Nothobranchius furzeri: one gene and its partners. The protein of the gene in region 1 interacts with the protein of each later gene in a pairwise test. Links are inferred from orthologs where the notes say so. Each region holds a gene or a part of one and is shown on either strand. Other genes may lie near its edges. The genes, in order: hspb1, pelo, wdr83, heterogeneous nuclear ribonucleoprotein D0, fxr1, bag3 and stub1.

Region 1 (3,843 bases):
CCTCAAATGACCTTTCACCCTAATCCATGCATGGAAGTTTCCCTGCTGCCTGCTGTTTGGCGTCTCTCAGATGCAGAGTGGATCATCCACCTGAAAGCTCCGGTTGTTTGCATTTGAAAATGAATTCCTGCATTGCCCGTTTGACCACCTGGAGGTCGTTCCCAGAAAGGGCCTTTAATGCAAAACAGAAAAACTGGCTCCAATTTAAATTGTTACTGTCTTTCCTGCAAAAACAACCTTGTTTACTGATTTAAAAAAAACTTCATTTTCACCATTTAAAAGCTGTTTTTTGCTTATATGAATGTTGATGGTAAACTTTTATTTATACAACCACATTAGACTCTAGTGTTTTCATTAATAACATACTATAATAATAATGTAAGAAAATGTGTGGCTCTTTAAAAAATGTAAATTTTGAACGTTAACATTTGTTTTTCTTTAAAAATCTTTTCAGAAGTTTTTGAACTTTATGCATGAAAGGGTTTATATTAGTTAGATCATTTTCATTCTAGATGTTCAAACAAAATCATCTCATGTTGAAAAATGGTGGAATTGTTGGTTTTTCTTTCTTTTTTTTCCAGCTAAATATCTGAATACTTCTGAGTTAAAAATGCTTATGAAACGTGTATGTGGAGTAACCAGGTAGGTAGGTTTTAGTAGTGTTGCAAATCTGCAACGCCTGCCTCCAGAGGGTTGCTCAAAGACAACACCCAGCAGCATTTTGTTTAAAACTGAGATGCATTTGGTCTAAAATGAACGTCTTCTATGTTTTTAATCCAGTTTGATATCAAAATACAGTTAGTATTTTGGCGTAGATAGCCCGAAAAGAAGGGGTTGAATTGATTCACAGTTGAAAGTGTCTCCCAGGCAGGATCTAACACGTACGTGTAAATGCTCCCTTTGCTTACCCTAAACCCATCTTCCAGGTGTTTCTACAACACTCTGCTAAATGTTTTCTATTGGACGCATCTTTCTAGACCGTTGTGTGTGTAAATGTGCATCTGTATTAAAACTAGAGCAAAACCACGACCCTGAGAAACGAATGCAACCAAAATGATGTTTTCATGTCTGGTTTTTAGCTCACTTTTTCCTACTTTGATGAAACTAAACAGTTTCCTGTCATCCACTAAGAAACTTGGGAGTTTTTAACCCAGTTTGGGTCAAAATGAGTTTTGATAGAAGGACGACCTCTGAGTTAAACAATGCTCATGAAACACATATGTGGAGTAACCAGGTAGGTAACTGTTGCAAACCTGCAATGCCTGCCTCCAGAGGGTTAACCCAGGTGAGTATTATGTGTTACTTTTTGCATCGTATCCCAGCATGTTGTGATCACATCGGCTCTTCAGGTTTCCTCCAGTTGCTTCTAGTCAGATCTGATCAGAATGGGAGGGGTGGGGGTGGGAGCTCTTACGTTTGCACTGGGCAGCTGTTACCAAGACCCGCCCTCCACGTGCTGCAACAGACACAAATAGATTCTAGATCTTTCCGTAGGCATGTTGGGGGCTTGTGGGTCTGGGGGCAGGGCGTTAGGGGGGTGGGACCAGCGTGTATAAAAGCTCTGCAGCATGTGAGTCAGGCATCAACTTGGAAGAACATTTTCTGAAAGACTTGAGAAGACTTCTTCTGCCCGACCACAGCAAGCATGGCTGAGAGAAATATTCCCTTCACCCTGGCCCGCACTCCCAGCTGGGATCCGCTCCGGGACTGGCACCACAGCAGCCGGATCTTTGACCAGATCTTCGGCATGCCGGCCCTGCTGGAGGACTTTCCCACGTTCCCCAGCTCCCGCTGGCCCGGCTACCTGAGGCCCTCCATCCTGGGCACTGACATCATGATGCCCCACAGCCACATGTACCCGGGACAGATGTTGGCCCAGCAGGCTCGTGCCCTGTCCAGGCAGATGGGCAGTGGCGTGTCAGAGATCAAGCAGACGCAGGACAGCTGGAAGGTGTCCCTTGACGTCAACCACTTCTCACCTGAGGAGCTGGTGGTGAAGATGAAGGATGGTGTTGTGGAGATCTCTGGTGAGTTTTCTCTCTTCTCTAGGTGTTTAAGTAACCTGCAAACATTCAGGATCTTTTATTCAGGATCCAGGTTAACTGAGGTCATTGTCTCCAGATGAAAAGGACCCCTCCCCCTCTTCCTCACATGGGTGGGAGTGGGATTCTGGCTAGAAGCCAACAGATACCTGTGAAGCAGCTTAGTTTTACTTTTTGTTTACATTTTTACTGGTGGCATGTGAGGCCTCCTCCCTCTCGGACTCGCCCTCGTGATCCCAGTTCTTCCAGTTTGCTGTGACTCCCCAGTGTCTGCAGCTTTAAAAGGACTGCTGGATCCGGTCCAGTTGACTGGACCTGGTCTGAGCACAGAGATAAACAAAGCGTGTGATTCAGTCTCACGGAATGGCACAAGAGATGAATGACATCACTAGCTGTTTATTAATTATTTTTTTAATAATTTCTGTTGTTTCCACAGGAAAGCACGAGGAGAGGAAGGATGAACACGGCTTCATTTCTAGGAGCTTCACCAGGAAATACACGTAAGCTTTTATTTTATTTTTTCAAAATCTGCAGGTTTGTGCAAAATGCATGCAGTCAAATGTATTCTGTATATCTGAAGCTGAAGTTTGGAGTTCTGAAATGCCTTATCAGCCACCTAGTCAGTCATATCTGGTTTATTCAACTCCACAAGTCTGCTGCCACCTAGTGGCCACACCTCTGCTACTACAACAATGTGTAACACTGTCTCCTCCCCCCTCCTCCAGCCTCCCTCCTACCGCTACTTTCGAGAAGGTGACCTCCTCTCTCTCCCCTGAGGGGATTCTGACCGTGGAGGCTCCTCTGATGGCCATCGAGTCGACCGAAACCACGATCCCCGTCACCGTGGAGAAGAAACCCGCCGTGACCCAGAAGTAGATAGCAGCGCTATACACCCTGATGCCATCAACGCACACGCATGCATGCTTTTTGTTTTAATCCACAAACGTCTTCGAGGAGATGAATCTTGTTGTGGTTTTTTTTATTACTTTTTAATTAGCTTTTTCATTTGAAGTAAATGTTGATGTTGCTTCTCAGTGGTCATTATTAAAATCGTGTGTCCTCAGGTACCTGTTTGTCACTGAGCTGCTTTTGGAAATAAAATTAACAAAAAATATTCTTTTGTCTTTTTTTTCATGATGTGACACCAACATGGGTCTGTGTAGTTGAGCTACGTCTGAGAATGAATTTATGTGGCTAAATTATATCTTTTGGTCATCCATGCAAAAAGCGCATCACGAAAGTCCTGTTTACTTACCTGCACATAATTGTTGTTTGCTTTTTAAGCAAAATCTAATAAAATAACATGCAGCCAGCTAACAACTAAATAAATGAACTCAGTCAAATGATCAATTGGATTTTACTAAACGTCCCATTAGTGCATGTAAAGTGGGCGTGGCTTAAACTGAACTGACAACAGTCAATGATGCTCAGCTGCCGGAAAGAAGCCAGCCATGCTGGTTATTTTCATGTTGTTCTGCACCAGCTGATCATCTGTAGGATGGAACCTGTTTCCATCACTTCTTTCTCTCCTTCCATAGCATCATCCTTCAGGCTTTCGTGTTGCACGTCTGTCCGGAAATACACAGACCAACTCTGCTCCTGACCCCAAAGCTGCAGGGGGAAATCTATATATATAGACACCATGTCCTGAGCTTCCAGCGTGCTGTGTGGTCACAGGGAGCCGGCAGACAAACCGGCGGAATGTTCTTCCACGGCTTTTGGCCTGTAGTGACTAATAGGTCAGCTATAGTTGGATTGATTTCAGATTTAACTCTGGCAGCCAAAGCAGATGTCTATTAGC
Region 2 (4,420 bases), on another chromosome or scaffold:
CTTTGATTCAGTCTACAGACCAAGTTCACTCACTTTTTCAATACATTTGCTGTGGTCTCTGGTATGAATGAATGACTTGTGAGTCGGTCTCTGTGAGGAAGAAGCTCTGACATTCCTATTTCAGGAAGTAGAAGTGAGTCAGAGGAGAGAGGAGACGATCATGACAGGATTTGGAGTTTTATTTCCTGATATTCGGACATCTCACCTCTGATTGGCTAACAGCAAAACAACTCTACCTCTGACTGTTTACTTTGCAATGTTGACGTTTTATCTCCCCATATAATACAAGCCTGAAGTAGTTCTGCTGTGTGGTGGAGTTGCTCATGCTAACGGTTAGCTTCTACGAGGCAGATAAGTTCTCTGCCGTTTCCTGGCTGTTAAACCAGCAACAGCCTTCCTGATCGTGAGTCAAGATGGATGAGCCCATGAATGTTAAGTTCCAGTGTGACGTAGATCTGAATGACTTTTCTAATCTGAGCGTTTTTCCGTCTATTTCTATCAGCAGCTAAATCAGGTGATGGGGTAGAAGACCGTTTTTACATTCAGCCTGCGGGTGAAACTCAGAGTGGAACATGTGATGAAAACAGGAACATGCTGTGTTGTTACATGTGGAAGTGTAGGTCTGTTGGACCTACCATCAAAGTTAATGTGGCGAAGAATGGCCTGCATCACGGCCTCATAGAACCTCTCCAATGCCTGGTAAAAAAAACAAGCACAACACTTACCTTTTAAATGATTTATCTGAATGCACCCGTGAATAATCGTTACATGACCATCTGAAGGCAACCACTCTTAAAGAGCAAGTCACCCACGGCCAGATTCTTACTGAACTCCCACTTCCTGTTGCCTAGCAGACCGAGAGGGTGGAGCCGCTAACAAATACACACACTCACGACATTGTGACATCATAATGTACCATCTAACATCATTGTGTACCTCTTAGCCAATAGCGATGGCAGATTTCTATTCAAATGCAGTGCTGAGTTTTTGCCTGACGACAGTGCACCGCTGACAGTTTTAGGCAGAATAGTTAAAATTTAACTAAGATGCACTAAAATGCCAAATTATTGACTACATTTGTCTACAGCACAATAAGACACTCATTTATATAGTTTATCAGCAAAAAAAATGTTGATTTGGAGTGACTTGCTCTTCAAATAAATCAAGCAGGTTTATCCAGACATAAACAAAGCACACACCAGAACACATCCCAGACGACTGACCTTCTCGTGCTGACTGCAGCTGCCTTTTCTCTTCCGAGGAATCGTGACCTCCACTTTTGCCCGAAGCAGAGTCATGGCGGGGGTCACCAGAACCACGTTAGCCAGACCTTCCTGCATGACCACAGCTGCCACATCTGCTTTCTGAGCCGGATCACATGCTTGGTCTAAAGGGTAGAAAATAATAAAAATGGGTCAAACATCATTACAAATGTTTTACTGCAGGTCTATCACAACTCACTGCTGAAAGCCAAAAGGCGGGTACTTGTGTTTTTGTTTGCATTTGTCAGCAAGATATCTAATAAACCACTGGATGGATTTCAATAAGACTCTAAAAACGTATATTTTATAGCACATCTACAACCTGGTTTGTGCTTGGGGTCAACCTGATTCAGGATGGCTGCTACAGTTCACTGAAACTGGTAAACACATTGATTTTACAGCTTAAATTTTATGTGAACGACATTTAATCGTCCATAACATACAGGCTGAGCACTAAAATACTGTGCATGATTTTTAGGAACTAACCTAAACAGCTGTAATGGCATCCTTTCTCAACAGCAAATGATCTCATTTTAAAACTGTGGCATAAAAGCCAGCAGCCAATTACCAATTCTGTCCAGCACAATGCTGTCCCAGCATTTTTTAGCCAGAGTGAACTTCCTATTGAGCTCCAATTCAATAGTGTGGTAAGCCCCCATCTGAAAAACACAATATGACAAGTGTTTTCAAACCCAAACAAGCCCTAGTAACGGTGTCAAATACAGCAAAACAAAAACACACCGGAGTGTGACTACTATAGGGTTACGGTCCAATTTCCCACCTTGACATACTGGTTCTCCTCGATGTTGGTGCCTTTCACTCTCAGCTGGCATGCCTGGGAGTCAAAGTCAATGGTCTCCACACATAAAGTCAGAGTTGTCCGGACTCTGGAGCTGCCCACACTTCCTGTCGTGGATTCTGTCTGTACTTTTCTGTGGCAACAAGGGAAAATAGCTTTAGTTGTTAGTGTAATGTTCAATTTAACATGCATACAGACTGTGAAAGGGATCAAATCAAAATACAACCCTGACTGATTAGCAGGCAGAAAAGAGAAGAAACAAACTCATCTGAACTAAAACCAACTTCTAAGTGGTCTGTTTAATGGTCATGAGATAGTTTAATGTTCAGAGTTGCACATCTCATCTTTATGCGACACAGGTCAAAGGTTACCGGATGGTTGAGGCTCTCAAGCTGTCCCCCACTTGGAGCAGGTTGTAGGTGTGCCACATATCCTCTGCCTCCTCTGGCATCAGAGTTACCTGACTGAAGAAGTGTTAACACACATCAAACTAGCTTTCTGATTGGCTTTTATGTTTGATTACACAAGATCAAATGTTCTTTAGACATCGACTGATCCAAATGTTTGATAGAATGTTTATGCAGAATGTAAAAAAAAATTACAAAAACTGTTTGATTCTTATTGTTTACCCATTAGATGGGGACAGAACAGTCATCAAAGCTCTCTGGCTATATCAGGAAATACAGTATTATGTTAATAATGCTTCATTCTGTACATTGTCTAATAAAGCACTGATCGTAAATGTTCCTGTATCCATCACCACTACGATGACACATGTTTGGTCAGCTACAATAGCATGCTTTTTAGCTTGCTAATATTAGCTGAAACATTTCACTCACCCGGCATAATCTTTCTCAATGTCTTTGTGGAGCAACTTCATGGCTGGATTGTTTTAATGTAATAAACAAGATTGTCAACCTAAACTACAGTGGCAGGAGTTTAACCGAATTACGGACATATTTATTTCAATGAAAGCGCTAACTAAGCTAAGCCATCTCTCAACTTTGGAATGAATCACTCGGTTCGTGTTGCGAGGCGCTGAGACGTGGGTCCGTTCCTTAACGTTATGCCGGAGAACGATCCGCCTAAACATTGAGACCGTAGCGGACTGTAAGTTGCATCCGCCCATTCGATGCACCACTAAACTCGCCGGCGAATAAGCAGTAGAGGACCCATTGCGTCATGTTATCATACGTCAATTCTGTCTAGCTTGGCCTCTTTAATGGGTGTTGCTTCTGCGCAGTACATACAAAGCGACCGAAACTTAAATATTTCAGATTTTGTAGATGTATTTATTTATTTGGAAATGTTCAAGTAAACTGAAGTTTCTCAAAGAACAACGTTTGATCCATTTCCGTGAGCACTTGCTCTTTTATCGTTGTGGTTTTGAGATGACTAAATGCTGACGTACATTGAAAATAGCCAACCCGATAGCAGATTTTGTACCACAGATCCCGGCCACGGAGGTAAACGAACCAATTGCAGCTCAAATACAGTCGGACAACATCCGTTCAGCCACGCTCTTCTAACCTTTTTTGTCGATGGCATGGTTGTGCTAGCAGCCGCGGCGGATATTTCAAACACTTAAAAAGTGTTTTAGGATTCAAATTTGAAGTCGTTGATTAATTAAATTTCTGCAAGCACATGTCAGCCATCACATATTCAACAATTCAGTCTTCAGCCTCACACTTTGAGGTTGTTATTATCCCCCAAGGTTAGCTAGCGGCTAACGATAGCCGATTAACTACTTGAGCTAACGGTAAACTCGAGAGCTACTTTACAATCTTTTCGTATTGAAATTTCGAAGTAAATCAAAGAAAACCCGACCCGATTAGAAGAATAGTATGGCGGAAGCCGACAAGCTGAACATCGATTCAATTATACAGCGTCTCCTGGAAGGTAAGACTCGGTTTTTATTCACCGAGGTGCCATTTTAGCTAACAGGGAAGAAGCCGCCAATGAAAGACTTCCTAATTATCCATCTTTGGGGTTTTACAATTGAAATACAAAATTTGACTCGCATTGGACAGAAACCATCAGATTAATTATGTAGACCTGCATTAAGTGCTTCAACAAAAATTTTCACATGTAATCCCGTTAAAGGGCTCGTTTAACATTGATTTATTGAAACGATGCGCGTCTTTTCTCATATTTGCTGTTTGAAATGTATTTTCATCAAGCGATGAAGACGTGTGATTTTATTGTAGGGTTAGTTTGAAGTTTTTACTTTTTCCAATCATGAAAATAAATCATCGTAGGTGAAAATTGGTATTTAAAAAGCGTTCTGGTTATTTTAACGCATGATTTACAGAATACCCTTTACCAAAAATCCCCAAAATTGACCAGTTTGTCAGAAATC
Region 3 (4,588 bases), on another chromosome or scaffold:
TCAACAACATCAGCAACAGCTCAGACAATTACATCAAATGGACTTTACAGACAAAAGAAACGCCATCATAGAAAGCAGCCAGACTGACCCCGGCGTGACCTCGGAGCTTGCGTGTGACCTGGCCTGTTGCTACGTCCCACAGGATCACGCTCTTGTCGGAGCTGCAGGAGCAAATCTGGCTGTTGTCGTATGACCTGTGGAAGCAGTCAAAGAGGGAAAAAAAGGTCCATCAAGGCTCAAAAGGAGTTTAGTAAATAGATGACTGAAGTGTTTGTGTTCTTTCCATCATGGATCGGAAAAAAAATCACCTGAAAACAACATTTTATTATTCCTGAAATACTGAGGAAGAAAATGAGAGCAAACGTCTCACCCATCTGCATCCAGAACCTCGTATCCATGACCGCTGTACGTCTTCAGGAAGGTCCCCTGACTCACACTCCATAACTTCAGCGACTTGTCGCTGCCGCACGACAGTACATAGTTTCCGTCAGCTGGTTAAAAATAAGGAGGAAAACAATCATGTTTATTATTATTGTTGATTTCAGTCAAATCTTTGCATGCGACCAATTTCATAAGAGTGCTTTTCATTTTAAGCCACTTCCTACTGTAACATCAACAAAATAAAAGCCCTAAGTAAAGGTGTATTAAGTGTTGTCAGTACACGACCAACAGCTAAGCAAAAAGGAACATTTTACACCAATAAAAACAATGTTTTATGTTTATGTATTTAGCAGACGCTTTTGTGCAAAGCGACTTACAAGTGATAATCGGCATGTTGCCCTTGAGGCTAACAACAACAACAACAACAACTTGACATCTTTTCTTACATAAGTCATTCATTTGGGGCAAAAGGCTTAAAATATAAGACTTTATACATACATACATATATGTGTATGTGTGTGTGTGTGTGTGTGTGTGTGTGTGTGTGTGTGTGTGTGTGTGTGTGTGTGTGAATGCAAGGGACTAATGGTTTATGATTAGGCATTAGCCAGATGGATAATGGATTCATCAAATTATTTTAATATTCTCAACATTAAACACTAACTATATTTTGTGTTTATTGCAGTGCTGCTACTAGTAGATTTTAATGAAGAATCAGGTACAAAGATGTATGGAGGAAAAGCCATTCAATAACAATAAAAGTAAAAACCATTTGCAAGATCACAGAAATTGTAAACACAGATTTAAACATTACTAAATGATTAACAAAAAAAGACAGGTTTGGTTCTTTGGAAGTTTGTTTGTATTTTGGCATAAATAGTAAATATCAGGCTTCAAGAGGGGTTTTAAAGTTTACCGTTAAAGCGAACAGCCCTGACAGCTCCTTGCTGGCAGTCAATGGTCCGGAGAAGATGCTGAGGAAGCTGAGGAGCCTGAGGTTTGGGCTGAGGGAACGCCATCATTACCTGTGAGGAGAAACAATCATCGGTCACCCACAATATCCTCAAACTGTGTCATTATGCTGTGCACGAGCTAGTTTCCGGTAATAAAAAGCGTTTTAATAATCAACATGAAAAAACGTACCTACGCTATCTGTTAGTCATGTTAATATATTCAAAGCGAAGCTAGAAGTTTAATACTAGAATATTTTAAACCACCAACGATACATGTTTGCTAAGTTACAACGTCTTCTTCTTCTTGTTCATTGGCGGGTGGCGGTCGATGCTGGCAACCAACTTCTAGGTGCATTTCCGCCACCTTCTGTGTGGGAGTATGAGTCGCATTAGGGAGAAACGGAGAAACTGTTCTAATTAAATTCTATATATTAAATTACCAGTCTTTAAAAATTCAATTAGTAATTTATACACATCTAATCCTCCAATTAATATATTCCTCAAATTCAACTTTTCATTATCTTTCATCTTTAATTGTCTAGATAATATTTTCCTATTCTTTATATATTTGTCACATTTACACAGTACATTTTCTACCGTTTCTCTATCCTTTCCACAGCCACACATTCCTGTATTATGTTTTCCTATCATAAAGAGTGTACTGTTTAAACCCGTATGCCCCATTTATACTGGGTTATTTTGTTCTTTTCAAAATAAAATATTAAATATTTTACCTCCATGTTAGTCAATGCAAAAAAACATCTTGAACTCTTGTTTTGAAATTTAGCGGAAATAATTTTCTGATCTCGTTTCGTCACTCACCGCGAGGCCGATCAGCTGTCCGTCGGTCACTTTAAATTTATTTTATTTGCTTTTTAACAAAGGAGATTTGGGGGCAAAAATGTCTTCCAATAGCACGACAGATCCGAGGAGGCTAAATAAAATTATACGGTAGGTTTTCCCCCATCAATCAGACAAATCTACACCGAAACTAGCCATAATTGACAACGAGCTAGCAGCCTAGCTAACCCTTCCTCACTAGTGATACTTTGTAATGGGAATTAGCTTTAGCTTTGAAATTATGGTTTACACTTTCTCATGGAGTCGACATTTCTACTCGTATGTTATTTATCAGCATTCAAGAAAATAACTCAATTCATCAGTTTGGGAGTCTTTCGCACAGCGTGTAATTTAATTCTTTTTTAAATTTATTAAGTCAAAAAATAATGAAACCACAGCTAATCTGATCGGATTTTACCTTTCACTTGTTTTAACTTCTTTATCATCTTTATTTCCGTACTGCAAAATCTTGTGACATTTTAGTCAATCCTTTCTGTGATTTCTTCTTCACACAGGTTGAAAAAACGAATCAGAATTCTTCAAGTTGACGTGGCAGCAGCGTATTTCTCTCATTGTTTGATTAAAACTTGACCTATGTGGCAGATTAGTGGAAACACAAACACAGACCCACCATGAGTTTGTTTTTTAAAGATAGTAGATGTCACACTACAGGCTGTTTACTTACCCTAGTGTCTATTTTACAGCAGGACCGAGCGCAATTTGTGGCAGCGGCAGCGCTTGTGGCACTTGCAGTGGCAGTTCTGATACTTCCGGGTGGTGCCACGGCTTTTAGTGGCACCCGCGGCTTTTAGTGGCACTAGCCACGCCCCCTACCACTGCTGCCATTACACTTCCGGGTGGTGCCACGACTTTGCACTAGCCACGCCCCCTACCACTGCTGCCATTACACTTCCGGGTGGTGCCACGACTTTTAGGAGTAAGGTCTAGCTGCGGACATTGCCCAGGAAAAACGTTTTTCCTGGGCAATGTCCGCAGCTAGGTATTATTGGATTATTGACTTTTAGTGGCACTAGCCACGACCCCCTACCACTGCTGCTCTTGACTTTTAGTGGCACTAGCCACGCCCCCTACCACTGCTGCCATTACACTTCCGACTTTTAGTGGCACTAGCCACGCCCCCTACCACGACTTTTAGTGGCACTAGCCACGCCTCCTACCACTGCTGCCACGGTACCTGCGGCTGTAGTAGTGACCTCAGTAATTGCAGCACTTATTGCATCATCGGCCTCATCATGCCAACGTTTTTATTTTTTACTTTATTAACAAAATCAAAACAAACAAGGCTGTCACCGAAAATATTTGAAATATTTCAAGCGGTTTACAAATGCGTTTCCCAGTCACTTCATGCATATACAGTGTAATGCAATCAGAAGCGTTAATGCATTTATTTTTTCCATCATTTTTGTTGCTCCCCCAGACGAATCCGTGACAGATCTAGTGGAAGATCCACAGACACTTCCGGGTGGAAGACCGGCGGTGGGTCACCGGCCTCCGGTACAGAGTCAGGAAAAGCAGGGGAGCACCAGAGCTAGATGGAGAGCGCCAGAGCAGTTCTCAATTTCTGAAATAATTTATGACAACTGCTACCAATGTGGATTGTGGAATAAAAAGAGATAAACTGTTAGTTTTCTCAATATTGTCATTGCAATCGGGGCAGATACCGCCATCTGCCGGCTTAAAATGGTTATTGCAGTACATTTTAAACTTTTTTAAAACTATTTCAATCTTCGTTTTCACATACATTCAGTTTACAATGTAACCTACATTCAACGTACTGAAGAATAAAGCAAATAAAAATGACCTCAGTTGAGGAAAATAAAAATTACATTTAGAATTTGCAACAATTACCACATGACACTACACCATAAAATAAATCATGATGCAAAATAATAATAAATTAAAAATGAAATATAATCAACAAACAAAAATTGTTCAGAGGTTAATATTTCAGCATTATATTTCAAACATGTATGATTAATTGGACTGTAATTTAAAGAACAAGAAACTCAGACATTGTTTCGTACTACTCATAAATCCATATGCACAATACAAAACTTTATTGTTGTGAAACCACAATATCTATTAACAATAAACTACATCCCCAAATCCGTTGTAGTGACAAAACAGCCTTTTCACTCCCAAGTTGTTTAAAATGTACTGCAATACCATTTTAAGCCGGCAGATGGCGGTATCTGTCCCGATTGCAATGACAATATTGAGAAAACTAACAGTTTATCTCTTTTTATTCCACAATCCACATTGGTAGCAGTTGTCATAAATTATTTCAGAAATTGAGAACTGCTCTGGCGCTCTCCATCTGGCTCTGGTGCTCCCCTGCTTTTCCTGACTCTGTACCGGAGGCCGGTGACCCACCGCCGGTCTTCCACCCGGAA
Region 4 (4,663 bases), on another chromosome or scaffold:
CTAACAAACTCAGGAATCTTTCTTTGCTTCACTGTTCTGGTGTAGTGATGGGAAATACGGCTCTTTTTAGAGAGCCGGTTCTTTTGGCTCCCAAGTGGCTCCTCAGATTTTCTGTTGCGTAGAATACATGTATAACCAAAATAATACTAAACTATATGTAAAATAATTTACTAATGTAAAAAAGCAATATATCAAATATTTATAATTTCTATTGATTTAATAACTGAACACTTTAAGAAATCTCCACTTCCCTACTGCTGGCGCTCATTTTCTCCTCTCTCTCGCTCGCCTTTTTCCTCCTCCTCATTCCCTCTCGTCTCCCTCCACCCGCATGTGCTCTGCTGTGTGTCTGTCTGAGTCTGATCCTCCCTCTTCCCCGCCCCTACTGCTCTGTGTGTGGACAGTCTGGACACACAGTTACACATGTTGACCAATCGCCTGTAGCTTTCACCAAGGCAGGGGGGGAGGGGGGAGGGACGGCTCCCAATGACGAGCCGGCTCCCGTCGTTCACTTCAAAGAGCCGGCTCTTAGAGCCGGTTCGTTCGCGACCGACACATCACTATTCTGGTGCTGAGGATATCACTAATGCGGATCAAAGGAGATACACAGATGAACGCACCTCTTATTTATTATTTGGAAACTACATTTACTGCAGCTGGCAGAGGCAGAGATTGTTTCTATTGATACATGAATTTACAGAATCGTTTTAAATGTTAAAAGGGGAAGACTGCAGGAGGGAGCGGTAAAATACAGGGGGTCCCCAGCTAAAACAAGAAACTTTACGAGTCTGATGAAACCCGCTGGTTTTCCATCAGGCAGTCACGGGGCAGCTCCAACGACCCAGTGGCTGTGCTGGGTCAGTTACCGAGCCCAGTCCGGTACCGGCTCGGCCGTGAAGAGCCGAGGCAACGTCATGCTCTGCTTAAGAAGAAGCGTTATTTTCCCGCTTCAGAAGAAGCGTCCAACGTGTTTTTACGCTTTCTCCGAGACATGTCACATTGCTAAGTTGTTAGCGCGCTAACACGTCAATAGTGCAGCGTAGCCTGCTGGAGGTTTTAAGGGTTCAGATGAAAACACCCGACCTCTCAGGCTGCTCACACATCGATCTTAAGTTGTCGCTGTTGCGCTCACGCCGTAATACAGTATTAGATGCGGTTAAAGTCAGACATGAAAAAATAAATAAATTTTACATGAATAAGTGATGCTTAGCCTGGTGGAGGGAGGAAAATCTTGCCTAATAAGCACTGGAGGAAACCCTGTCAAGATCGTTAACACTTGTTTATCTTACTGCTATTGAAACATGTAAACCAAAATGCATTATATCCATTGCTACCTTTCTAATTTTAAACTCAGTAACTTATGCTGTAACGTCACCTTGCTCTGCCTGCTCCTTTCTTCTTGCTGCCCGCCGGCTGTGATCACAAGCGACAACATAGTAGTTCCCGCTGCTTCTTCGGGAAACAGCGCATGGCGGGCCGCCACGGCTACGCCTATGTAAGGGAAACCCTGTATTTTAAAACATTTTCTAAATGCTTTTTTATATTTTTACATTTTTTTTTGTTTTTGTGAAGAGCCTCGTGATTTTTATCTTGAGAGGCACTATAGAAATGATATTTTCTTCTTCTTCTATTCTCTTACAGTACCAGTTGATCACTTTTTTTGAAGAATTTATTTGAGATTTTCTGGTTTTTATTAATTGTGCAATAGACAAATAATAATTAGATTAATCGCCATTAGAAAAGTCAACTATTCGATAAAATAATCGTCAGAATAATCATTTTAAAACTAATCGTTTACCCCCAGCCCTAACACCAAAGTAACTTGAGGTCTTAAGGGGAGACTGTGCAGTGTCTCTCCTTAAGCCCTCCTCCAAATAACCATGTTATTAGGGCAAGAATCTGACAATATGACAAATATCACAATAAAGGGGAGATGATACGATATAATGCAATACTAAAAGCCACATGATTAGCTATTTTAAAGACTGAATTTAATTTTAAATCACTCCAGACGCTTTCAAGACACATCCAGCGTTTTCTCGAGATCTTGTCGTTCCATCAGAATGAAGGCAGTAAAACTGCTGCTACCTAGCAGTCAGAGTTTGAATTGCATCAAACAAAATAATTACAGTAAATGTTAACATTTAAATTGTGAATTACAAACATCGAGAAATATTGATTCAGTGACATGAAATATCACAGCATTGATTTTCTTGCATTCCAACTGATTATGGTTATATCTAAACGGAGTGAGACAGCAGAGTCAACAACATGCTAAAGAAATGTGTCCCGTTATTCTCACTTTGACTACTCAACATAAACATCTTTATAATTGTGTAAATGTATTAAGTCTTACCGATTTCCTTGCTGAATTTGTCTCTATATGTACTTATGCAGATGTAGCATCCATGTTGTATATCCTTCATATAAGTCCAAAAGCTTTGACTGAGAGTGAAATAATAAATGACCGCGTTATGAAGCTGGAACAGTAACATACCCTTCGTCCTCCTCGTTTTTACTGGCGTCAATCCTCGACCCTTCGGCCTCGCCTCCCATCGTCAGGCCACAGTCCCCACTAGCGGACATCGGGTCGTCGTTGTTAGCATCTCCATCCTCCTCCATTCTCATCAGGCTCGAGCCTTCGCTGAATTCATAATCCTTCGACATATTTTGGTTTTTTCAGGCACCTAATTTTTAACTAAAGCGGCACCGGGAATTTTTGAGAAAATACAAATTCACAAAAAAATAGAAGTTGCGCTACAGATAGCTAGTGGCTAGCTAATATTTATTATCAAATACCATCAGATAAAAAAACGAAGCAAACGCAAACCGTGTAGCTTCTTCACGGAAACATCTAAGGTTTTGATTAACAGAAATTTAAAGCGTTTAAACTGATAATTAACTATCTTCCAAATGTTATTTTAATAATAAGAGCGTCGTTTTGTGTCGTTTTTTATCACCGTCACCGGATTCTTCTTCTCTGTTTTAAAAACGGATGAATTAGGAAACCAAACCGGGAACAGCGTCACCCAAACGTGCCGGTGTTACGTCGAAATGTGTGACCCCGTTGAAAACTGTTTCTCCCACTGGCTTTGCCCTGCCCCCTTGTGTTCGGTTCAGATGTAAAGAGATTCACACAGCTTTATCGCACATCCGACTCGCCTCATCAAAAAGTACATAATTTAAGTTATATATTTTCTTCACCTAACATTTTTGTCTTCGCAGTCGCACAAATATATTTGCCGAGGAACACCTATGACGACCATGCTGATGCTGACAGCAGCGAACAGTTTCAGACGGGGTAACCTATACAACATCTAAGTGTAAACATTAAACACGGTTAAAATAAACGTTCTTTGAACGGCAGATTATAATTTCAAGTGAACGTAAAGAGAAAATTAAAAATTGAATGGAAAATATACGGTGTGTGTGTTTTACGTAGAATATTTATCTAGTCAGCTAACACCCTCAAAGAAATAGCACACACGTAACAATGAATTCTAATTATTTTCTGACATGCAAAACAAAATATTATTAATTGTAAACTGTTCAAAATATGTTTTTAAATGATGAGTCCTTGCTATTAAAATACTCAGTATCGTCACCTAGTGAGTTGGAGGTGAATTGTCAGACCGGAACATGTGAGTTAGTTGTTGCATTGTGTGTTCGCTAAAGTAATGGCTTGAATAATCACGTAGCAGAGATCAACTAAAGCCATTTCCTGCTCATTTATAATCTCGGTTTTGCGGTATTCGACCTGGACACGCACGTGGGAACAGAGCCTCGCTGTAACACCACACTATTTAAGCTAAGCTATCGTTAGCTAAGATAAGAACCTCCACCATCCTTGTGTTTTATTCTAGTTACAGAAATGGCCACTGTTTCTATTCCTGCTCGCACTACAACAATCTTGTTGGACATCGAGGGAACCACTACACCAATTACATTCGTTAAGGTGAGTTACATTTGTTTTTATTGTATTAGGTGGGTCCAACCGTAATGCTAAGTAAAGAGCTAACAGTTGCATACGGCTAAAAACTGCCTGTTTCTAACAACTGAAAACTAATACACTCCGGGCTTTGTCACTTTTCCAGGATATTTTGTTTCCTTACATCAGGGAGCATCTGGAGGATCACCTGTCCACTCACTGGGAGGAAGACGAGTGCAAACAAGATGTGCATTTGCTAAAGAAACAGGTATGATTAAAGCCTTAAAGTGAAATTAAAGTGAAAATAAATATTTAAATGGAGCCTTAAAAAATATATCTATCATGATTATGATAGAAAGATTAAAATAAAAATACAAGGAAATCCAATAATTGAAGAAAAACAATTACAATTTATAAAATGGCCTATAAAGCCCAAAGTAAAAGAAATGCAATTTAAAATTCTCAACAACTACTATCCATCAGCAGAGACACTGAGGAAGAGATTTGGTTTTGAAGTTGACCCTTGTGAATTCTGTCAGGGAAGCCCTGAAGAAATAGAACACTTATTTTTCAGCTGTCATATAAGTAAGAGGTTTTGGGAAGAAGTCCATTGTTGGTTAAGAAATAAAATAAGAGAACTTGATCATTTTACAAATGAAGATATTCTTATTTACAATTCTAAATTAAAGGGGAATAATTCATTGTTAATTAACAGTATTATTATTATTATGGGTA
Region 5 (3,920 bases), on another chromosome or scaffold:
CGCTTCAGTGCAAACAAAACGTCTCGTCTCGTCTCAGATATGCTGTAATAACATTTGTCCTATGATCAGAGTGGTTGCATATTAAAGAACAGGAAGCAGCTAATGTCAAACTCCTCAACAGATAAATATATAAAGGATAACGGGACCCCCCCACCCCACCCCACCCCCACAACATTAAGAGCAGACACCTGATTTTAGAGAGATGGCTCTGAAATCCTTTGAGGGCGTTTTGAGGGTTCGCCCTCACCGGCCTCTAGCGGAGACGCCTCGTCTGTGGCAGGTGAGGGAAACCGGGTCACGCGGAGAGATGTGGAAGGATTTCAGGTGGAGCGCAGAGCCAGGCAGCAACATGTTGAATCTACTCTCAAGGCACAACAGCTGATCACACGTGAATCAATTCTACTTGAGTTTGCGACAAACCTATCTGCAGCGTGGTAAGGCTCATGCAGATGTTCACTTTTCAAACTACCTCGGATGGAAAAAGCATCCTGGAGAAGACAAAACTAAAATAAAAAATATGTTGCCACGCGACAAAAAAACAGGCATCGTTGTAAAACTTTGCCAGAATTAAAAAAACAAACTGCTGCATTCACACCACAGAATGGATTTGAGAGGAATTCCTGTCTGCGTTGTATAAACACTGCTTTCAGCCAAACCTCCATCGGAGCTCTCGGTGAAGAGCAAGCTAAAGAGGTGTGTGTGTGTGTGTGTGTGTGTGTGTGTGTGTCCCTAAACATGTGTCTGACTATCTTTGGCAAGCTCGTACTGGAAGAACTACTGAGAAAGAAAACTAACTAGTAAAATGAACAGTTGAACAGATAAAGGTGTAAATGAGAGGTTACGGTCTTGTGCTGCAGAACAGGTTTCAAATATTTGTTAAGTAATAAAAAGGACAGTGCTTGTTGTGTTTAAATGTTTAGTAAACTTTGACGCCTCGCCATGGAGACGCAACCAAGTATCCCCAAAGGAGTCCAAATATTTGAAACCGTTTTCTTTGCTCCGGTCTAACTAGGAGAGTCCGTTAACGACAGGTTCCGGGTTCGAGTCCTCCGTGTGAGAGGCTTTGGCGGGCTTCTCAGGGGGAGACTTGGTGGCGCCGTTGCTCGAGCCGTTGGTGGTTGGCGGAGCAGACTGCGGACTGTGCTCAGCAATAGCCTCCACCTGACCCTGGATAGATGAAAGGAAGTTTTCAGCTAAAGTGCGTTTAGGAAATGACCGCACTGCCATTTTTCTGATAGAAAGTTTCATTTGAGTTACGACTTTCTTCAAATCAAGCTTCAGCACAAAATTCACTAAGTACATAATCACTCACAAACATGGCCGAACGCGACATCACACCGTCAAAGCATTAAAGCTAACACTAAGGATGAAATCTGAAGGTAACTGGATGTTCTTCAGGGCCGCCTGAATGATTCTTCACTCAAAAGCAGCCGTTACAACCAACGCCGACGCATTTTACAGGCTAGCTTTGAGTTACCCTAACTCTGCAAAGGCTTGTGTCATCAGAAACGTTCAAACAGGTTTTGAAAGAAGAGAACTTGAGCTTCCACGGCTGCAGTCTTACCACGATAAATCCCCTTCTGCTGCTTCAGGAACCCAGATATAAAAAACATGGGCCTGCGCAGCGCTACAGGAAAAAAAAAACAACTAAAGCTGGGCGGACACTGTGCGACTTTTTCACTCGTAGCACTCATCTTCAGCTCACACTGTACGACTTCCTCGCAGGGCAGATCTCACGAGTCATGTGCTCACGCTGTACGACCCAGTTCTCGGATGCGACCTGACTGCTCACACTGTACGTCTGGTAGCAACACGTCGGCCCTAAAAATATGCTAAAAAAAGCAGTTTTTACTCAACACGTCAGACTTTTTTGTCTTGTTTTGCCTGTTGTCCTTCGGGAGTCCTGCAGGAGGACACACGGGGATTTATGGGGGTTGGATGAGGAAAACAAAATAAAGTAAATCTGTGTTTTGTTATCAGTTTAATTTGACATGAACACGACAAACACGCTTTATTGACAATATTTGTCATTGTGTGTAAAAAAATGTTTAGAAATAAAAACGAACAGCGTGTGTTATTAGGGAAATAGCGGGCGAGCGGTGTTGATGCAGGATTGCGCATGCGCCGTGAGCGGTTCTGGTACTTTTTGGGTCGCAGCGCTGCTTCAACAGTGCGATACCCTCACGAGGGACGAGCAAAATATCAAACACGCCAGAAGTCCGTGCGAGCTCACGATTGCTGATCGGTAGCTGGTCACGTGGTGTTAATCGCCTCTCGTAACCCCCTGTACACTACACGACGCTCAGCGCAAAACTCGCCCCGATGTCGTGGATTCTCGCACGAGTGGAAAATCGGCTCAAAAAAGTGAAAAAGTCGCACGGTGTGCGCCCGGCTTAAAAGGAGCCGAAGCTTTGCTCCTTCAGCTCTGGCATTGGCCGATTATGTTTGTCTGAAATCGAATTGTCGACCAGAAAACAGGTGATCATTCAGCTCTATAAGACAGTTTCTTGCTTCTAAAATAAGAGATTCTCAGTCGAACACCAGAGATGCTCACTTTACCAGAATTACCACTTTATAGAAACTAACGGACATCTGTCGGCAGTCACATGCAGCATGGCGGTACTGACCACATCCTTGGGTTTCTTTGTGTCCTTGGTGTTTGTCTGCCTGCTCTGAGATTCAGCCCTGGATATGTAGTCAGCCACGGTCACTGCACAAACACCACAACACCTCTGGTAAGGCACCGGGGCAGAGAACTTATGCCACATCCGCCCCAGTTTTCACAACATCAGTAGGACTTCCATTTGTGCAAATTACAACGCACAGACATTAGTGAAGCTTGCAGAGTCGGGAACACCGGACACAAACATCAGCGAGGACTGATTAAGTATTTTAAGTTAACTTAAAAATGTAACTTTTGCTACGGCAGAATCGCAACGCAGATAGTGAGTTTAGAGTAAAACAAGTTCAGGCTGGAAAAGCAGTGGTTCAAATCTCGCATTTTAATAGAAGCACAACTGTTAGATGCTGTTGGACAAGAAGAAACCTCTTAGTTTTCCAAAACCGCCAACAACGCTCATGCCAGTTAATTCTGCACCTGCAGCTCAGTATGCAGTGTTCTGTTTGATGCCACTAAAGCTGCAGCCTGGAGAACACACACCAGCGGTTGCCATTGGTTACCTGGCTGCCTCTCCTCTGGCAGGTGGGCGCGGCGACGCCGGCTACGGTTGCGGCGCTGAGGTTTTACATCTAGGAGTTTTAGGTTTTCAAAAGCAGAATGATTGGTGTCTTCAACATTAAACGCTACCGTAAACTGCAGAAGCTTCTCCTACTGTCAAAATGCTGCTCTGATGACAACACCTAGCAATGCCACTCTGATTACATTCAAAGACGACTCATCCATCCTCCATACCTAAGCCATTTTCACTCAGCGAGGCGTTGTCAGACTCGCTCATGCCATCCATCAGAGTGGCATCTTCATCTGTTCTGCGACGCCGTGACCTTCGGCGGCGGTTTGCTGGCAGGTTGGACTCGCTGGCATCGGTGTCAGCTGTCTGGTCCGTCTCAGTGTTTGCCTCCAAGGTTCCATAGGGTTGGTAGTTGTCATGGTCCCGAGGCGCTGCAGAATTATATTCAGAATGACCGACAGCAGGCTGCAGTTACACAAGACAGCAGGTGACTGGGTGCGCTTCAGAAGGACAAGCCTTAAGGTGAATTTTACCAGAACTGTAGTTGTATCCTCCTCTGCCTCCTCTCCCCCTTCCTCCAGGTCCCCCTCGACCTCTGCCAGGTCCCGGCCTTCTACGACCATCTCTTTGTGGCCGAGCGCCTCGTTCTCTCTCCCTGTAAGTCCAAAAAACGAACGTAGAGGCCCTCAAAAAACAACACATTTAGACTTGTCAGCTCGTTGAGTTTCAGTG
Region 6 (4,520 bases), on another chromosome or scaffold:
TGATGGATTTGTTTTTAGGGCTAGGATATACATTACCATAAAAGATAACGGGTAGTTTTACCTCTGTGATCATTTTGCAGCTTTTACACGGTCCAATCTGGGAGAAGAGTTGTAAAATCAAAACCTCTGTAACGTCCCAGGAGAGGTTTCCCACGTACCTGCAATGAAGAGGAAGTTTAAAATGTAGACGAGGTTTAATTCAGATTCAGACCTACAGTAATTTATGATTTATATATCACAGATCATGATGTAGAGGACACTACCAGCTAACGTTATATAAATATCCTCGTTTCCAATGTGAAACTGTTTAAGGTAATCCCTCATCTGAACTAACGTTTTTTTTAATCGTCGAAATATACGTGTTTTTGAACGCCTACTAATTAAAAACGTAAATTAACACTTAATATTGAACGTTGTCTACACTTGTTTTTTGGACATGTAGCTCAGTTAGCCGCTGCGTATGAGAAACCAAACGAAAGCTAGCTACCACGAAAACACTAAAAATACTTACAGGGTTCTGGGGTAACTTTCGTCGTCCATGACCAACACTGAACGTGACGTCGTAGAAAAAATATAAACTATTTGGTAATTAAAGGACGTAGACTGAGAGATAAACGCTGTAAACAACGAGCTAACTAGCTTAGAAAGCTAACCGGGCAACGTTTCTTACGTCACGCTGAGTGTGCTAACTGCGCCTGCGCATGAGCACCGAAAGGTCAACCCAAAGGGTCTGGGTCAACCTTTAGTTCGAAGCTATAAATGGCTTAATTTTATTCTGTAAGTTGAATTCACCGTGTGTAAATAGAAATTAATTGAATAAAACAGTTGATTCAGAGAATATAATGACTTATTTCCCTCTTGCTTTTCGAAAGCAACGCAATTTACGTAAAAGGCTTTTATTTTGAAGTCCATTACATGGGTACGCTCGTTTTGTATTTCGAGGTTTTCACGATTTGGACTCGAACAAAACAAGCATCGGTACTCATTTTTCACAAGGTTTTCCGAATTTTTAAACTTGATAATAGAAACAAGATGGGGTTCTTTTCCTCACAAAAATGACACACATTTTATAACAGACTAGATGACATACATATTTCTAATTTTAATCTCAGAAAGGAGCCAATATTCTACCCTTTCTCATAATTCTTACAATCTAAGAAATCTGAGAAAATAACTTTTTATCAGTGGCCTTAATTCTCCTCCGTAGATATTTATCAGAACGATAAATCATATTTGTTTCAAGTTCCTGGCGTTTTGTGTCTCCGCACCGATGCAGACGCATAAACAGGTTTAGCAGTTGCATCTCTAAGCAAATTGGATTGAGGGGAAAAACTGCTGTTCAAACCCCAGGTCTAATAGATTTGCGCATGCGTGAGTGAGAAGGTTTCAGGGTTATTACGTGATTCTGGGGTTGTTATTAAAGTAGAGCTGGTAATAGCTGCTCTCTGTAAACACCAACTATAACTAAATTAATGTAGTGTCTTTTGTTGGGGGGTGTCTGCGACACAAGAAGTAGCCGCCATGCCGCTGCTTCCAGCGCGGTCCGCCGCCCCCGACATTAACCCCGCTATTTCGAGAAACTTCCAGCCCACTTTCCTACGTCACTCGCAGGAATCTTTAAAGGGACCGCCGCCCATAAAAAATGTCTCAGTACTCGCCATGAACGCAGTGAAGACGCACTCTCCGACACTTGTGATGGCTGATAATGACATCGACCAGCTCCCCCTCGGATGGGAAGTCAAAATCGACCCTCACACTGGATGGCCCTTTTTCGTGGATCACAACAACCGGACGACAACCTGGAATGACCCGAGACACGACACCAAAAAGGTAACGGAGGCGGGATAAAGTTGTTTCAACGGGTTTCCGTAGGGTGCTGCGTCGGTTACGGATTGTGTTAAGCTGCTGGAGTCGCTACGCTACATGGCTGTTTTGTGTTAATCTTGTTGACTGTAGGCCTTGTTAGGTCCCGTCGCCTCCCCCTCACTGACTGCTCATAAGCCTAATAAAACGGGTGATCAGCCCCGTTATGTTCCCGAGTCATGATCTAACACTATTATTACCCGATGACTCACTGCCGAGTGTCAAGGCTTTCTGATACCAGCGTTAATTTAGGTGGAAAACTCATTATAAACTTTTTTACCCACAAAATAAAATGCAGTTGGGTCCCATTCCATTTAGGATATTGAATCTGGTTGTTTAGATGTGGAAATGTAGAAATCTACAGGTCTGTAATCAAATCCGTGGGCTGACGTGAGCTCCACAGGCTGCCAGCTGGGTAATCTTTCTTCATAGGGACAGACACTGTTTTCCAAAGTTAGTGTCCTGAGGAATCTGCTAGAAAGACACAGCTGTTGAGGGATAAAATTGGTGCATTGGACCAGGCAGAGGGCAAAGGGTCGTTCACGGCTATTTCTCAACTTTTGCTGGAGGATTATCAATAGTTCACACATTAATGCCCTGCTTGTAGTTGTATTTTATTTATTTTTTATTATCTCAGCTGCATGGGGCACTTTCAGTGTTGGTGTTTGATCATTCTGAGGCTTATGTAAAAAAAGTATTTGCACCTTTACAGATTTCTTCTGCTTTTGTTCTTTTTGTTGTCACGCATAAATGTTTCAGATCAGCAAAGACAAAATGCAGTTTTCAGATGAAGACTTCAAGTTCTCTTAACCAATAACTCTGAACACTCTTGGACAGAGGCGGCACCAGGACATTTTCATGGGGGACAAGATTGGGGGGCCAAGGAAAATTTAAGGGTGGCACATCAAACTAGTTCTCTTGGTAACTCTTGAGTTTTTTAGCCTGTAGCTGTGCTCTGCATCCTCATCCATTCTTAAAAAATATGCAGCAGAAATGTTATATTTGAGAAAATAAGAAACTTCAAATATTTAATTTATTCATACTTTAACATTTACTTTTTAGTAGTTTAGAACAGCTGGATGTATCTGTCGCTGTCTTAATGAATGCATTTTACAAAACAGATTGATATTTGTACTTCTTCTTGAAAATGGTGCACAGCAGCAACATATTAATTTGTTTACTTATTTCTATATTTGTAAGGTTTTACATTTTATTAAAGAAGACTAATGTATAGTTTTGTGAACATAAATATTGAACATAAATATGATTTATTAAAGGAGGTTGGAGAGTGGAAGTGCTCTGAGGTGGCCAGCAATTTTCCAGGATTGGTCAAGGCCCCCCTCTGGCCACCACTTGGGGGCGCCACTGTTCTTGAAGGCAACAACTGCAATTAAAGAGACGGTGTGTATTTTTCCTGGCGATAGGGGGCAGTAGATACATAAATCGTTGCAAGCAAGCAGTATTTTTGTGTTTGAGTAACCCCAAAATTCCACTATCTCCGCTCCGGCACGAACTCTGCAGCAAAAACGGTCCCGTTGTAGTCAATCAGAGCTGTTCCACTACTGCGGCCGTGCGGCGCAGTGAGCCGTTCCGCCATCCGGCAAAAATGGATTGATTCTATTTTTGCCGGACGCCGGAGCACCTCCGCAGTCAAAGGACAGAAATCACAATCGCCCAACAGGAAAGGGAGCAAGCACAACTTCCGTTATTTCACAATAAATCGATAAACAAAAAACGTTTTTTGTTTCATATGCACATGTTTAACAACTTTTAACAACTATCAATGGCGGTTGAACTTTAAATGCACAACATAAGCCATAAATACAGTTTCTACTATCAAAGTAGTCACACTTTGTTGATCCAAACACTGCTGATCTCTCAACACAAATGATGGGCAGATTAAACAGTTCATTTCGATGCTTCCCCCACACAACGGGTGTTTGGATCTAACTTCCAACGAGCATTTATTGCTCGGACTGTATCGCAAGATCTCGAAAATCCAGCGCATGCCTGTTTGCGCACCTCAGGTCTCTGCACCGGAGCGGAGCCGTTGTAGAGCGGGTACCAGTAAAAATTGAGTTCGGAAGCGAGCGGCTGCGGAAAGCGACAGATGCTCATTAGGGTCAAAAAGCCCTGGGGAGTGCAAACTTTAGTAAAATGACAAGCACATCAGACTCCCTTTAATCAGTGGCAACAAGTGAAGAGGTAAATGTGTAAAACAACATTTAAGAATGACAAAAGTTTTGTAACTGTTTGTTACAAATCAGTAAATGCAATTTGTCCTCACGGGCTCCCTTAGAAGGAAACTTGACATCTAATATGGAGTCACCCAGAGACTTAGACCCACTCCCATGTATTTTAGACCTGATTTTTATGGTTATTATACAAAGCCGTCAATCATTTTCAACAACTGGGCATCATTCCATTAATTTAACGACATTTTGATGGATATTTCCAGAAATGAATGATTAAAAACTACACATTGTCTCTTTAAGCTCAAGAACAACGAGTCAATCTCTTTAAGAGTCTCACTTGGAAATCACCTATACGTTATATAAAGGGGAAAGTTGCCAAAGCCATAGCAGTATTCTATAGAGTCATGTTTCTACTAAGTTGGTCTGGGTTATTAATGTTGTATCACTCACTGATTGAACCAT
Region 7 (4,579 bases), on another chromosome or scaffold:
GATGACCTGTTTCTAACAGACTTCTACTACTTTGGCAAAGGGTTAGAGGTGCGTTTGTGAATATTAGGACCAATCTTAATATTTTGATTTAATTATTCAAAAGTTTACATCACTGAAGCCTCAAAAGATCTTGGCATCCATGAAATAAGTTAATAGAGACCTGTTGTCCTTCTCTGCTGTTGCAGGTCTCTACACAGTTAGACGTTTTCAATTTTGATGTTCAAGTAATTTTGCAGCACAGAGCGCCCTCTGCTGGTGAAGCTTCAGATCAAAGTAGGACAAGCCGTGATTAAAAAAAAAGTAATTTGTGTGTGTGTGTGTGTGTGTGTGTGTGTGTGTGTGTGTGTGTGTGTGTGTGTGTGTGTGTGTGTGTGTGTGTGTGTGTGTGTGTGTGTGTGTGTGTGTGTGCTTTGCTTTGCTTTATGGTATTATAAGATAATAAAAATTTTAATTTGACACACAGACTCTAATTTAAATAAAGTTTAAGTTAAACTTTGAAATCCACAAAGAGAATGTTGGCTTCGACTTAAATATGTAAACAAAACAAAAAAACAAGTCTACCAAAATAACAGCAGCAAACAAAGATCCTGGATATCATTTCATAACAAGAATATGTGAGTCTGTTTGATCATTCATCATTGATCAACATGCCAGGAGAATCCTGAAAGGAATGTTGATAAATGATCCACGTTTTAACAGATTTGTACAAAGTTGCCATCAAAGGGTATATGAATGTAATCCACATTTTATTTTGGTAGGATTATTGCATTTTCTGACACTCTGACATAGCATCCTACCTGAATATGAATTTGAAACCACTGCATTAGGATTTGTACATAACTATTTGATTTAATGCTAAATTAGTAAATAAAGATAATTAAAAAATATAAAAAGATGTTCAGTACAACAGTAGATGCACACGTTTTTTTACCTTTATTGTCAATTAATAGTTGACCTCAAAACCTATTATGTATGAATATGTAAAATGTGTTTTGGAATTACTAATACTTTTGAATAGCTTGAATCTATGTCTACATGTGATAAAAAATAATGACTAAATAACTCACATGCCATCTTAATAAATTTGTCTAAATGTTACGTATTAACACGTAAATGTACAAAAATAAATGATACTTAAAAATGGTGTTTAAATAGCTACAAAATAATAATTAAGACAATTATTTAATAAAATAAAGTATACTCAAAATACTAAACGTTATTTACTGCATTTCACAAACAAATGAAATTGTTGGTAAGTCTTTCTATACATAAAACATTTTTTGTTTTATTCTAAATGAAAGATTAGGAGGTAATAACTGATACATAGTTTCAGTTATTTGCTTTTTATTTCATCGCACTAATTGTGTCCTTTCGGCTTCCGTTGGAGTAACGTAAAAAAGCCCTTTACGTCAGCATAACAACAACTTGTCATGAGAGCTCGTACGGGGAAAATCAATACTTAAAGACTGTATATCAAAATAAATGAAGTCACAATCATCTGGATGTAAGATTTATCATTAAAGGTAAGAGTTGGAAACGGTAGGCTTTAACAACGAACTCAGTTTAAACCAGAAACAGGGGAGGCTTTGGGCTAACAGGCTAATTTTAGCATTAGCTAAAGATTTTTTTACTTATCGCTTAGCCGGGTCTTGGTGTACTATATTATTAACGACAGTGTCCGGCTGAGAATAGTTTGGGATCAAACGTGGCATTTATTGTTCATTTGATGAATTCAGTGAGTTTAACTAGAGCTGAATGAGCGGAATCCTTTAGCAACCCCCGGTGAAAACCGACCACGTAGCCTAGCTTACTAGGCATAGCAGCGATCTCTGGTCTCACTAAAGTTGTGAATTTTTTCGTCTGAGAACATTTTCTTCCACAGCAGCTAGCCTCCAACTGTTCCTGCGCAAGCGAGTGATCTGTTTGGAGGTGTCGGTCGTCACCTTTCGGCTACCTCTGGTGTAAAGTTACCCTGACTTAATACTCAAAGCGGTGCTCATTGCAGATTGCAGCCCACGCCGATGTCCGTCATATGAATAGTTAATTCAGTCTAGGCACCTAGCTGTGTTTTTCAGCGGCAGTGCGCGCAGTCAGCAAATCAAACCTTTTGGGTGGCATCGAGCAGCATTGCACCTAAAAGACGCGCATTGCAGCTGCAGTGCAGTAAACCCTGTGGTGTCTGCTCTGTAGAGCGCGATCCAGGACGGACTGGTCATTTTGAACTCTGACGTCTGGCCAGCCGAAGAGACGGGGAACAGGATTGGGAAGCAGGGCGAGGCGGGCCCCGCGGAGCCGGTGGAGAAGATGGCCGGCAGCCCGGAGAAGAGTTCCACCGCGCAGGAGTTGAAGGAGCAGGGGAACAGGCTGTTCCTCTGCCGCAAGTACCAGGAGGCTGCAACCTGCTACAGCAAAGCTATTGTGAGTGGCACTAAGGATGTCTGAGTCTTAAGTCATCTAAGCTGGAAGAATACAAATGTTTCTGATTACAGATAATTCATTAACACACTTTCTGGTTTATTTTGTCCCACAGAACCGTAATCCATCAGTGGCTGTATACTACACCAACAGGGCCCTCTGCCATGTAAAGCTGCAGCAGTATGACAAGGCTCTGGCTGACTGCAAGCATGCTCTGGAGCTGGACAGCCAGTCCGTTAAGGCACACTTCTTCCTGGGTCAGTGTCACCTGGAGCTGGAGAACTACGACGAGGCTATTGGAAACCTGCAGAAAGGTTTGAGGAAGTCCTTAAAGAGGATGTAAACATGGCTGAGTTTTGCGTCATTTGGGGGGAAAAGTTCGTCTCACAAGTTCCTTCATTTTTCTTTCATAATTCCTTTTAGATTGAAGTTTTTGTATTGTCATCCTTTTATGTAGTTGTTTTCTCGTCCCCATTGTCTTCAGCAATCTTTAAAAGTTCTATTCCATGTCTACATCAATGTTGTGTAGATAAATTAATGACTTGTTGTGTAACATTTCAGAAAAGTCCGTTTTTTTCACAGTTCAACATGACCCTTAAATGTTGTAATACAATCTCCAGTAATTTCTGCCTATTTTAAATACCAGAAAGCTGATGTTTAAGTGCTGCTGGCTGACAGACTCACACTGTTCAGTCCGTGTGTTTTACTCATTTATATCTTTGAATGTTGCTGACAAGTCTCCAGACAAGTTCTTCAAACAAGCAGATCACACAGAGCATTAAACCCAATGTGCAACAGTTATTTGTTTTTTTTTACTAAAGCAGCGGAGTCCAATCCTGGTTCTGGAGTGCCGGTATCCAGCACGTTTTAGCTGTGTCCCTGCTCCAACACACTTAATCAGCAGCTCATCAAGGTCTTCAGAAGCCTGTTAATCACCTGCTGAGTGAAATCAGATGTGTTGGAGCAGGGAAACAACTAAAACATGCTGGATACCGGCTGACTTCAAAACTCATGGATAAGTCTAAAACCATAACACAACACGAGGGTCAGATTTATGCTTTCTATTATAAATGTATAGTTTACAGGCCAAACCAGAGCAATCAGAGGCTGGTTACCTGGTGGGTGCTGATGGACTGAGTCAGTGTCTCCAGTCTGCGTCATAATGATAGAGAAAGCTTGGTCATGTGTAGCTGCAGGTGCAAAATCTCTATCTTCTAACTACAACCTAACCTACCATTTCAGAGCGTTGGGAAATTGTTAAGCAGCCACAGCACCAGCTCTTCTGCAGCAGCATGGAATTGATAGAAAATTGATTTAAAGACTGTTTAGATGTTCTTTTTGACCGTTTTCCAAACTTCCAAGTTTTAACTAATGTGACTTATTTATTTGTTTATAGCGTATAACCTGGCAAAAGAGCAGAGGCTGAACTTTGGAGACGACATCCCCAGTGCGTTACGCATCGCCAAGAAAAAACGTTGGAACAGCATCGAGGAGAAGCGCATCAACCAGGAGAACGAGCTGCACGCCTACCTGACCAAACTCATCCTGGCTGAGAAGGAGAGGTCAGATGGGATTTTTCTGAAATACATTCTGGCACGCTGTGCTCCAGGTGGTTTAGATTTAGTGATATAACGTGGCGTTTACTATTTTTCATAGAGAACTTGAAGAATACAGAGAAAAACAGGATGACAATCAAAGCGGAGGAGATGCAGCAAAGATTTCATCAAAACACGTTGGGTTTTGCCCTGATTTTCACACTTTTTACTGACCAAAATATGCGTTGATGTTAATTTTGGGACATTTTCATTACATGTAAACGTGACCTGCTAAGGACAAGTATTTAATGGACATGGACGAGCTGTTCTCCCAAGTGGACGAGAAAAGAAAAGTGAGTTGACAAGTTGTTAATTTTTTGTTGTTTATTTCATTTAATTCATATTTAAATACTTTAAATAATCTAACAGAGAAACAGTGTGTGTCTCCCCCCCCCCCCTCCCCCATTTTTGTAGTTGGCATAAGAGCAGCAAATATACTTGATTCTTCAGATCTGACTTGAGATCTGTTTTATTTAAGTCTATCTTTTGCGGTTATTTTATTTTTATACAACCTCAGTAACTTCACTGACAGATGAGATCGCATGAAATAAGATGGTTGTTTTAATTTT

The links.
Region 2: the proteins of hspb1 (region 1) and pelo interact in binary tests that used the Homo sapiens proteins (3 or more experiments, as listed by UniProt). The link is inferred for Nothobranchius furzeri from reciprocal best matches to the Homo sapiens genes HSPB1 and PELO.
Region 3: the proteins of hspb1 (region 1) and wdr83 interact in binary tests that used the Homo sapiens proteins (3 or more experiments, as listed by UniProt). The link is inferred for Nothobranchius furzeri from reciprocal best matches to the Homo sapiens genes HSPB1 and WDR83.
Region 4: the proteins of hspb1 (region 1) and heterogeneous nuclear ribonucleoprotein D0 come close enough for resonance energy transfer, tested with the Homo sapiens proteins (2 studies listed by BioGRID). The link is inferred for Nothobranchius furzeri from reciprocal best matches to the Homo sapiens genes HSPB1 and HNRNPD.
Region 5: the proteins of hspb1 (region 1) and fxr1 interact in a two-hybrid assay, tested with the Homo sapiens proteins (2 studies listed by BioGRID and IntAct). The link is inferred for Nothobranchius furzeri from reciprocal best matches to the Homo sapiens genes HSPB1 and FXR1.
Region 6: the proteins of hspb1 (region 1) and bag3 interact in binary tests that used the Homo sapiens proteins (3 or more experiments, as listed by UniProt). The link is inferred for Nothobranchius furzeri from reciprocal best matches to the Homo sapiens genes HSPB1 and BAG3.
Region 7: the proteins of hspb1 (region 1) and stub1 interact in binary tests that used the Homo sapiens proteins (3 or more experiments, as listed by UniProt). The link is inferred for Nothobranchius furzeri from reciprocal best matches to the Homo sapiens genes HSPB1 and STUB1.

What each region holds. Positions count from the first base shown.
Region 1 is NC_091750.1:66,231,461-66,235,303, forward strand, and holds hspb1 (heat shock protein beta-1), read left to right. Parts: upstream 1-1,555; 5' UTR 1,556-1,645; coding exon 1,646-2,027; intron 2,028-2,478; coding exon 2,479-2,542; intron 2,543-2,767; coding exon 2,768-2,918; 3' UTR 2,919-3,156; downstream 3,157-3,843. UniProt on the Homo sapiens protein: Small heat shock protein which functions as a molecular chaperone probably maintaining denatured proteins in a folding-competent state. Plays a role in stress resistance and actin organization.
Region 2 is NC_091756.1:34,853,752-34,858,171, reverse strand, and holds the start of pelo (protein pelota homolog), read right to left. Parts: upstream 3,172-4,420; 5' UTR 2,942-3,171; coding exon 2,901-2,941; intron 2,526-2,900; coding exon 2,433-2,525; intron 2,195-2,432; coding exon 2,044-2,194; intron 1,922-2,043; coding exon 1,831-1,921; intron 1,388-1,830; coding exon 1,224-1,387; intron 697-1,223; coding exon 636-696; intron 1-635. Other genes in the region: ppp1cab (protein phosphatase 1, catalytic subunit, alpha isozyme b), read left to right, coding at 3,906-3,960. UniProt on the Homo sapiens protein: Component of the Pelota-HBS1L complex, a complex that recognizes stalled ribosomes and triggers the No-Go Decay (NGD) pathway.
Region 3 is NC_091744.1:1,724,869-1,729,456, reverse strand, and holds the start of wdr83 (WD repeat domain-containing protein 83), read right to left. Parts: upstream 2,930-4,588; 5' UTR 2,860-2,929; intron 2,721-2,859; exon of another isoform or gene 2,593-2,720; intron 2,286-2,592; coding exon of another isoform or gene 2,236-2,285; exon of another isoform or gene 2,133-2,235; intron 1,660-2,132; exon of another isoform or gene 1,525-1,659; intron 1,407-1,524; 5' UTR 1,404-1,406; coding exon 1,298-1,403; intron 492-1,297; coding exon 371-491; intron 195-370; coding exon 89-194; intron 1-88. Other genes in the region: wdr83os (PAT complex subunit Asterix), read left to right, coding at 2,236-2,285. UniProt on the Homo sapiens protein: Molecular scaffold protein for various multimeric protein complexes. Acts as a module in the assembly of a multicomponent scaffold for the ERK pathway, linking ERK responses to specific agonists.
Region 4 is NC_091746.1:62,892,579-62,897,241, forward strand, and holds the start of heterogeneous nuclear ribonucleoprotein D0, read right to left. Parts: upstream 2,889-4,663; 5' UTR 2,668-2,888; coding exon 2,498-2,667; intron 1-2,497. Other genes in the region: enoph1 (enolase-phosphatase E1), read left to right, coding at 3,557-3,641, 3,864-3,955, 4,095-4,196. UniProt on the Homo sapiens protein: Binds with high affinity to RNA molecules that contain AU-rich elements (AREs) found within the 3'-UTR of many proto-oncogenes and cytokine mRNAs.
Region 5 is NC_091748.1:72,983,515-72,987,434, forward strand, and holds part of fxr1 (RNA-binding protein FXR1), read right to left. Parts: intron 3,844-3,920; coding exon 3,722-3,843; intron 3,620-3,721; coding exon 3,413-3,619; intron 3,250-3,412; coding exon 3,181-3,249; intron 2,711-3,180; coding exon 2,628-2,710; intron 1,168-2,627; coding exon 1,009-1,167; 3' UTR 1-1,008. UniProt on the Homo sapiens protein: mRNA-binding protein that acts as a regulator of mRNAs translation and/or stability, and which is required for various processes, such as neurogenesis, muscle development and spermatogenesis.
Region 6 is NC_091752.1:5,543,090-5,547,609, reverse strand, and holds the start of bag3 (BAG family molecular chaperone regulator 3), read left to right. Parts: upstream 1-1,631; 5' UTR 1,632-1,659; coding exon 1,660-1,830; intron 1,831-4,520. Other genes in the region: tial1 (nucleolysin TIAR), read right to left, coding at 62-158, 512-540. UniProt on the Homo sapiens protein: Co-chaperone and adapter protein that connects different classes of molecular chaperones including heat shock proteins 70 (HSP70s), e.g. HSPA1A/HSP70 or HSPA8/HSC70, and small heat shock proteins (sHSPs), e.g. HSPB8.
Region 7 is NC_091756.1:32,259,311-32,263,889, reverse strand, and holds the start of stub1 (E3 ubiquitin-protein ligase CHIP), read left to right. Parts: upstream 1-1,383; 5' UTR 1,384-1,523; intron 1,524-2,190; 5' UTR 2,191-2,304; coding exon 2,305-2,418; intron 2,419-2,530; coding exon 2,531-2,729; intron 2,730-3,811; coding exon 3,812-3,977; intron 3,978-4,071; coding exon 4,072-4,147; intron 4,148-4,246; coding exon 4,247-4,303; intron 4,304-4,579. UniProt on the Homo sapiens protein: E3 ubiquitin-protein ligase which targets misfolded chaperone substrates towards proteasomal degradation.